Linked DNA regions of Neodiprion lecontei. The protein of the gene in region 2 binds, or shares a complex with, the protein of the main gene of each other region. Links are inferred from orthologs where the notes say so. Each region holds a gene or a part of one and is shown on either strand. Other genes may lie near its edges.

What was found.
Region 1: the proteins of NADH dehydrogenase [ubiquinone] iron-sulfur protein 3, mitochondrial (region 2) and NADH dehydrogenase [ubiquinone] 1 alpha subcomplex subunit 5 are in contact, whole or in part, in a cryo-EM structure (PDB 8ESW), measured with the Drosophila melanogaster proteins. The link is inferred for Neodiprion lecontei from reciprocal best matches to the Drosophila melanogaster genes ND-30 and ND-13B. Residues at the interface, in NP_647775.1 of Drosophila melanogaster: Tyr66, Glu69, Cys70, Leu71, Pro72, Lys73, Tyr74, Val75, Gln76, Lys77, Leu89, Ile90, Ala91, Pro92, Glu93, Val96, Pro97, Gln100, Phe101, Asp104, His105, His106, Gln107, Gln109, Val119, Val121, Cys123, Arg124, Asn126, Glu129; in NP_648409.1 of Drosophila melanogaster: Tyr28, Ser43, Tyr44, Tyr47, Thr48, Leu51, Arg55, Cys74, Gly75, Glu79, Gln83, Ala84, Asn86, Glu87, Ile89, Leu90, Lys93, Met94, Trp97, Lys98, Pro99, Trp100, Glu101, Lys102, Leu103, Val104, Gln105, Ala106, Ala107, Pro108.

The regions. Positions count from the first base shown.
Region 1 is NC_060260.1:32,435,322-32,439,589, reverse strand, and holds NADH dehydrogenase [ubiquinone] 1 alpha subcomplex subunit 5, read right to left. Parts: upstream 2,061-4,268; 5' UTR 1,926-2,060; coding exon 1,905-1,925; intron 1,315-1,904; coding exon 1,153-1,314; intron 965-1,152; coding exon 791-964; 3' UTR 611-790; downstream 1-610. Other genes in the region: KIF-binding protein, read left to right, coding at 2,180-3,991.
Region 2 is NC_060261.1:6,099,966-6,104,823, forward strand, and holds NADH dehydrogenase [ubiquinone] iron-sulfur protein 3, mitochondrial, read left to right. Parts: upstream 1-1,930; 5' UTR 1,931-2,092; coding exon 2,093-2,159; intron 2,160-2,227; coding exon 2,228-2,311; intron 2,312-2,974; coding exon 2,975-3,222; intron 3,223-3,398; coding exon 3,399-3,644; intron 3,645-3,772; coding exon 3,773-3,928; 3' UTR 3,929-4,128; downstream 4,129-4,858. Other genes in the region: tRNA (cytosine(38)-C(5))-methyltransferase, read left to right, coding at 1-91; transcription factor MafK, read right to left, coding at 645-1,010, 1,662-1,694. UniProt on the Drosophila melanogaster protein: Core subunit of the mitochondrial membrane respiratory chain NADH dehydrogenase (Complex I) that is believed to belong to the minimal assembly required for catalysis. Complex I functions in the transfer of electrons from NADH to the respiratory chain.

The DNA.
Region 1 (4,268 bases), on a different chromosome or scaffold from region 2:
CTCTCATTTAGGGAAGTATGCAAACATAGAAATGTGGTTACGCAATCAGAATCCAAATAGGGACAGTCAGGAAATTTTGATAAACGACATCCAGATGGGACATCAAATACTTCGCAAGAAATATTAGTTGCACTAATGGATGATACTGTAGAGCGTAGAGCAGATCTTTAACTATGGCTTGAGTTTCAAATTAGTACAAAGAGAGTATGTTATACATATCTTTCTGGTGTCGCTATTATAATTTTTTGTGGTCCGGAAATCTGGAAATACTACAAATCTGTTAATCTCCAACTCGTCGGTTTATTTAGACTATTTTTTATCTATAATAAAATTTCAATATTTAAAGTGTAAATGTAAGCTTGTGAATAAATTCGTCACAGGGATTTTGGCTGCAAAGTCTTGGTAGATCTGCAGATTTTTAATTTTTCATTAATGCTAACTTAACTTGAGACGTAATTAGACCGTTACTAATTACATCTTCCTTTCTGGCACATATGAAGGTCATTACGTGATTTGGTCAGAAAAACGAAGAAATATTGCTCTTGAATATTTTAAATAAAAATCTTGACCTGTTTTTCAATGCAGAAGCACGTTAATTAAGATGACATAGTTTCATTTGATTAGTCCATGCATATTTTCATTTCTTTAATGATATCTATTTTCAGGAACAAGTAATTTCTTCCAAAACTGCTATTTTATAATCGGAGACAGACGTATATACAATTAATATTGTCTACTTTGCGTATGCAATGATTATAAACATTTTAAATATGCGTAATCGATTCACATATTATTTGTGCGGTGGCCAAGTCCATTGGTTAGCAGGTGCTTCTTGGATCAACGGTTCCCAAGGCTTCCAACCTAAGAACTTTCTCGCCAAGTGTAATTCGTTTTCAGCTTGTAGGATTAATTCTTCAGCTTGGCCACAGTTTATGGCTTTTTCAAGGTCTGGCACTTTTAGATTCTGAAACGATTTAAATCCTATAATTTGTCAATATCTTTTTTCTTACCAAGGTAACAAGCATATCTTTTCAATAAACCTTAATGAAAATCACGATTTTCGACTTTACGCGACATCATTCTTGATCAGTTTATAATTTAATAATCTTCCAAGAATAACTATTAATAAATAAACTGTGCAATAATAGTTACATTTTTCACATGAGCAGCTCGTTCCTTAACAATTTTCTCCGTATTGATTCTGTAGGGATAATCCTTGGGCATTTTATCGACGGCTCTAAGAATTTTACTGTACAACACTCCCAAAGTATGATGTGGATTCGGGGCAACGGGCACCCTGGCTAAATTTGTTGACTAAAAAAGAGAATACTTGATATTGAACATTTAAAAAGCATTGAATATACTTAAAAAGGCTTTAAAAAGTCACAGCTCTTTTGGAATATAAACATACGAATCAAATGTCTCAGTCATGAATCTTATAGTTGTTAGTTAGTCGTAAAGAATCCTTCCATCAAACAATGATAGGACTTCTGTGATATTCTGCAAAGTACTTTAGTTATCAATTTAAAAAAACAGAAGCATGGTAATACAACTTGAGCAGTTAGCGATTTTATTATATCTCACAATCAAATATAAGCAGCCACGAGCAGTTACCTTTCTTTGACTACATCCATCCACCAGAGACAATGTCTAACTGGTAGTGAATTTTGCATAAGTGAGTCTCGAAAGGATCGATGACCTTTATAGTTACTGGCGCAGCAATAAAAAAATACGTTTAAAACGCTCCAATTCTTGAAAAATACCGTTTCTCAACGCGTATTCGAGAAGTGATTAATATGATATACAGGTTATGTTGTGTAACACCTGACGTTATTTGCCATAAAGAAAAATTTGCAAGCCCATTTCTAAGAAATACCAACAATTCAACTATGTTAGACATTTACCTTTTTCAAAAGCCCAGCCATATTTTACGCAAATTCTGAATTCCTCGATACTTTGCACAAGTTTTCAGGATTAATTGAGACTACGGATCGCACTCTATCGTCTGCTCACAGCGTCTGCTTGAGACGAAAAACGCAAAACGGTCTGCGCACCGCGTAGACGACGAAAAGAAAACAGGAAAACCGGTACTTAACCTCAAACACGGATCAAATAAATCAGTCGTCGTTGCAGCTTGAATTTCAATCACTTCAGTATATTGTCCGAAAGTGTCGTTGAAATGGAGCTCGATAGTGTGAATAAGGAGATTCTAGTGGACCTGGAGGAGAAATACGTCAAGGTTCGAAAGCTGCTGGACGAGCACAGTAAATTGGACCCGGAGAGTGAGCCGTACAAAAGTAAATATGCGGCAGCCGATATACTCAAGGAAATGCAGATTAAACTTGTGAAAATATTAGACGACAATATAACAGAACACGACAGAAATATTGTGACAGCAATGCTTGCTGTTATCTGGCTCAATATGGGGATAATTTCGGTCGACACGGAGGAATTGGCAGCCGGTGAAGAGCAGCTGACCAACTGCGTGGACCTTTTGATTGACCGAGAACTGAGACCAGAGGCAATATTAGTTATACTTAGTGCTCTGAATCAGCTGGGAATACTCTGGGCCCAGCGAGACAATCCAAAAACATCCCAGAAATATTTAGAAAAAGCTGAAAAAATATACAAGGATTTTACTGCGATTGAAAAAAGCGATAGTACCAAACCCGTACTTATGGCCGCATTGTTCAATCTGAAGGATGATGACGATGACACAGACGCTGAGGAAATAGTCGAACGACTCCACACTCTGACTCTCTACTACTTGGCGCAAATCTATGGAACCTTAAAGGATCACCTCAAATCCGCAGTCTACTGCCACATGACTCTGAAACGTCAGTTGAACCACGAAGATCTGGATTGTGTAGACTGGGCCTTGAATGCTGCGACTTTGTCCCAGTATTTTATGGAAAAGGGAGGGTTTAGGCAGGCCAAACATCACTTGGCTGCAGCTTCATATATTCTGCAAAAGTACGAGGATGAGTTGAGAAGTTTGGACGATACGGAGGAAGTGGTGGCAGCAAAATGGGAAACGTTCAGACATAGAAGCGCAGACGTCGCCAGGTGCTGGGCAAAATATGGGATCCTGCTGTTGAGTACATCCAAAGAAAGGCTGATGCATCATGCCGATGATGAAACGAGCGAAATGTGCTCGGAGATAAGTAGGATGCAGTTGGATGAGAACTCGGGGGTCACTGAAGAATGTATCGAGAATTTAAGATTCACAAAGATAGAGAAAGAAATTGAAACTATTGCAAATCAACTGACAGACAAATATGCTTTGGACTTCAACGATGCCAGGACGATATTTCTGAACTCCCAACAATGGCTTGATGAGGCAAAAAAGTATTACACATTGGAGAGTCATGCGTCGGATCACGTGCAAGTGATACAAGACGTTTCGCAGCTCTTTAAATTCTTGTCATTCTTTGAAGAGGATGAGGATCGCCAATCTAAAATGCACAAGCGGCGGGTCGACGCCTTAGAAAAGATTGTTACAGAGTTAAATCCACAGTATTACCAAACTGTGTGCAGGCAACTATGGATCGAACTGGGCGAAGTTTACTGCGATATTTTAGATATTAAGCTTGAACGTCTGCAAGCGTCAAACGAAAGACCGACCGCCCAGGCACTAACTAAAATCAATAACCTTGCCAGGAGTGCGATTGGAAACTTTCAGAATTTTTTAGATTCTCTGGTGGATCCAGCCACTCACAATTTCCCAGACAAATTTTCCGAAGATTTAGTTAGACCCGCTTTATTTGCTTACTTTTTTTTGGGAAGATTGTATTATAAAATCATAACACCTGACAAACATGCACAGCTAGAAAATCTTCGAAATAGTTTGAATGCCTACAAAGCGCTGATTGGCTACTGTGAGAAGGATGAAAAAGCTGCAGAATTGATGAGCGTGGAATTGAGTGTCTGCAAAGACTTTGTTAATCTTTTACCATTGAAAATAGAAAAATTAACTAGAGAATTGGTATAAATATGATGTCTTTAAGGCAATAAAGATTCATATTCATTTCTTGCTTAATACAGCTTTTTTTGCAAAACATTATTTTAATAAGTTTGTATTATAAGTTATTGAAACTATACATTTTTTACGTAATACTGATATTACTCTCTGTACCTAACAACTCATTAATCTCACGGCTTCATCTGACTGTGTAAATCTGAACATAGGTACAGGCAGTAAAGTCGGTACTTATATTTCTGAAACTGAAATAAAAATACCATGCTTTGTGCGTTTACATCTTACAGTT
Region 2 (4,858 bases):
GTACAGACTACTGGGAAACTCGATAAACGTCTTTGTCGTTTGCCAATTAATTAAATTATTGAAATATGGCGACGCTGATGCGTTGGATTGAGACATTATTAGAACAATAATATTTCCGTGATCTGATGTGAATAAAAACATACATTTTATCAAATGATCATCTTTTGCTTAGATTTTTTTTTCGTTTTACTGATACCTCTTCAATATGGGTGGGTAGTTATTGAGCAAGAAAACAGAATAATTTTAACATAATATAGCACGGAATGCAACTAGTTTAATAGTTTTATTTACAAAGAAAAGCTGTTTCAATGAATGATTTAACTAAGAGCCTCTACCGGCCTTCCATTTAAAACCTCAGAAATGGCAAATAATTTGAGTAACTTTTTGATGGCCACTCTGCTAATACATCTTTCAAATCTATGAGTGATCATGATAATTTTGTGTTCAGTTTTAAAATCAATACTAGCTTTAAATTAAACTAAAATTGAGTAAAAGGCTTGTCATATATCTGCCGGATAATATTTATTCAGTATAATTTGAGTTGATTCAAGTGTGCTATTCATTTCTTTATTTATTTTTTTTATTAGGGAAACTATAGCAAAGAAAAGTTCAAGTTCGTATGGAAATATGAAATTGGAAATATTCTACATTGTTTCTAACTCTGCAGGAATGTGGATCTTTCTACCTAAGGCAAACTTTTTTAGTGCTTCGTATTTGCTGTGCCACGATTCTATTTCCTCTCTCATAGAGTTGTTATCATCCTGCATGTCCTCCATGTCTCTATACTCCTGAGTTTTTTCTGTTTCAAGCTCATCCTTCTGTTCGATACGTTTGATACGACAGCTTGCTGCATAGCCACGATTCTTCAGTGTTCGCCTGCGCTGTTTCATTCGAACTATTTCATCCCTCGTCAATCCGCGAAGTTTCAGCTGACGATTCAAGTCACGAACTGTAATCGTCACCAGCTCGTCATCGCTTATGTCTAAGCAAGGTCCTGGTGACAGGGGATCCTGAAATCATCACATAAATTTATTGTTCGAAAAACATATTTAAGTGTGATATTGAATACTGGACAAAGAATACATGACATTTTTCTAACATTCTGGTTTTCTTCATACTTCCTGAATCACAGATACTAATCATATGAATGAAAATTTAGTCACTCTGTGATTCTATATTATAAATTCGTAGAACAGAAAATACAACAATTTTAATCATAGTAAAGTTGGTTTAAAGATGATGTTTAATCAGAGTAAAAAATTGTTTATCAACGATTAGCAACATTTCCTAGAGAAAGACGATTTCAGACGATATACATAACAGACAAGGCAGAGGAATGACAAGATAGGAATGTCAATATAATTGATATCGTTGTGCAAACAGCTGGTCTAGGCACCCTTGAAGCGATGCAAAGACTCTCAGCTACTTAGGTTATGAACAAGGAAACGTGAAAACATACGATAATAATAGAAATTAAGAAAACTGTAGCCGCGAACTGTAATCGTCACTCGAATCGAACGTTGTATTACAATATTGAACGAGTGACACGCCTATCGTAATTACAAACAAGGTGTAGTTCTATCAATGAGCGTGTAGGCATTTGGAATTTACGGGGGGAAGTTGATCAGAGAATTTTCATATCTTGGAATAAGACAACTTACCATATCGATCATTCTTTTGCCTTCGGAAGGCATGATCAGCTTCGTTTCAGGAGTTGGACAGTACAATGAACGAGCTACTTTTTCCTAGCTCTCCGTTTTTCACAATATTATGCTTTGTCATCGTGAAAGACGGCTCCCCAGCTTCGAAATTGTCGATTCGTACACCAAGCAGCCAGTCATCGTATGGCTCGAAGCTGGTCCGTAGTCGAAGTAACGCGATCGATTTCGAAATCTATGATGATAACAGGAGTATAACTTATGACCGTCGTGAACATAGCTGCGCAGCTGATTTAGCAGACGATTGCCAGTGCTGGCTGGCTGAAAAAGGGACGTAGCAAATGTGCGGATTTGTTGTAATCGAGGAAAATTAATGGAGTGACCAGAATTCTCAATTGAGAACTAAAATTAACTGATAATCGCGTCACTCCAAAATGGCCACAATAATAATGAGAAATTTTCGGGCCATCGCTAGCCTAGCCTCAGTAGCAGCTCCGAAACGTAAAAATTTTAACCTTACGGTTAACAATATCACGTACTGTTTTAAGTTATATAAACTTCAATTGCAGGTTGTATTTCCGCCTTTCCTGCGCTAAGAAATCAAGCTCAGCCGCCAACTGCACCACCGGCTGAAAAAACAGAAGAAACACGTCGTAAGGTTTCATACATCAAGTTCAATTCTCACTATTTTTTATAACACTTGTCTAATGGGCTGCGGAATAACTGTCTTGTTAGCGAAGAGAGATTTCACAGTCAGAGAGATCAAATTTGATGCAAATTTTGTGAGTGGTAACAGGGCCAACATGAATAGACACATATCGCCATTTGAATGAATAAGTTTTCGTTGCCGTAGAACAAGATATTTCAAAGATGTACCTAGTATCTTATAAAAAGTTCCAGATTTTCACAAGGTATGAAAATGTTAGAGATTTACTTGATTGAGTTTTTCTGATATTCAAGTCATTTCTAAATACTTTTCACCTAGTAGAAGCTGGATATTTAAAGAAATGCGACTCCAAACTGCTGCATTTATTTAAACATTGCTCCACAGGTATCTACCCAAAAATTATTACTGCAGTCTAAAGATTGACATTATTTCTTCCTCACAAAAACTTTGAATCGAATTCAACTCCCCGTGCTCTGTGACATTTTATGCTAACTTATTCCATGTAAAATGATGTGATAATGTTGATGTAATCGATTTATCAATTGTTCACATGGTAGCGGAATCACCACATTATATATTTTAATATTTCTTCTCTGAGGAATGGGATTTTTGTGCATCGCAAATTTTTAAAAACGGAATTATTTTTCAGCTACTGTTCGCAAAGTTGACCACGTTGCTCGCAGTCAGTTAACAGACTTTGGTCGCTACGTTGCTGACTGCGTTCCTAAGTATGTACAAAAGATTCAACTGACAGCAGGAGATGAACTGGAAGTCTTGATAGCACCGGAAGGAGTTGTTCCAGTTTTAAGTTTCCTCAAAGATCATCAAAATGCTCAATTTCTGAACATAGTAGACATTACCGCAATCGACGTTCCAAGCAGAGACAACAGATTTGAGGTACCATTTGATAATTGTTTATAAAATTACAATGTGGCAATAAAGTGGAAAATTTTCATTCAAGTATTCGAAAGTGTTCAAAACATCTTTAATTAGGTTAGTCTCAATTTACTTGAGACTGTTTCCTGCATCATACTTTTATTCATGTATGTTCTCCAATAATCACTTATCCACAGCTCATATACAATCTTCTCTCGCTGCGCTACAATGCTAGAATTCGAGTCAAGACATACACGGATGAGCTGTCGCCAGTTGACTCAGCCTGCGAAGTGTTCAAGGGTGCCAATTGGTATGAACGTGAAATATGGGATATGTTTGGTGTATTCTTTGCCAATCATCCTGATCTACGCAGAATTCTCACCGACTACGGTTTCGAAGGGCATCCTCTTAGAAAGGATTTCCCATTGAGCGGATACGTCGAGGTATACACATTTTTTTTATGATCATCCACTCCAACGTTCCCTAATAGAGCTTCAAAGAAGCAATGAAAATCTTTACCCTTCTCTAACTGTGTGTTTTCACAATTATCTATAACATGTCAATTATTCAGGTACGTTATGACGACGAAAAGAAAAGAGTGGTTGCAGAGCCACTTGAAATGGCTCAAGAATTCCGAAGATTTGAATTGGCTGCTCCGTGGGAACAGTTTCCTAACTTCCGAGGTGCACCTCCCAGTTCTGAGGAGATACCAGTCGACAAGAAGTAAGCATGTATTATTGCTCTGATATAGTATACACAATAAACATGGATTGATTGTCACCAGATTGTATTAGTTGCTGTAGTTGTTTATTTACAATTCAAGTTCTCTAATATTCTTCTCAAATCTGATTTTACCAGATAATAGCGTACGCCGGTGTTGATGTATAACAACTGTACAATTTTACATTAAAAACTTTTGTTCGAGAAGTTCATATTATTTTGAATGTGTCTCTGCCAACATACGTGTATAATACATGTAATTGGTTTACCGTTCACTTGAGTTTCCATTCTAGAAATATTAAAACGATTATGCTGTTTTGTTACATGCAAATCATTCAAATAAACGCATATCGTAAATAATTGAACAGCCAGAGAGAAAAAGAGTGTGAGAAAGAGAGAAAGCGAAAGCCGTATGTGAAAATAATCGTTGAAAAATAAATGATACACAATTGCTATAAATTTATTGTTAATTATTTATTTCATTCTCAATTCGTGTGTGTTTCCTATACCCCAAATTTCAACACATCAATTAATCAAAATTTTAATGACTATCGAAGAGGCAAATTATATTGGAGATGAAGCGTTTTCATTTTCGGTAGTATAACGATAAATATTTTAATAACATATACGTAATGAATAGACAAATTTTTGTTCAAAACACTTGCTCGCGTGAAATCAATAAACAACAACAGAGTAGATGTGTTTGCGTTATCTAAAACCCCCGTGCATTCTAGTGCCAACAAGACGCACGTAATTAATATACAGTTATAAATAATATATTAAGTTTATGGCTTGAAAAAAAAAATCTGAAATACTAAGATTGTTACAATTATATACAATAAATTGTACTTTGTTGCTTTTTTATAAGATTGCAACTTGTCATGACCTACAGTGCAAGTTTTAGATTCAAAATATTCGTTCGGTTTTATCAGACAAG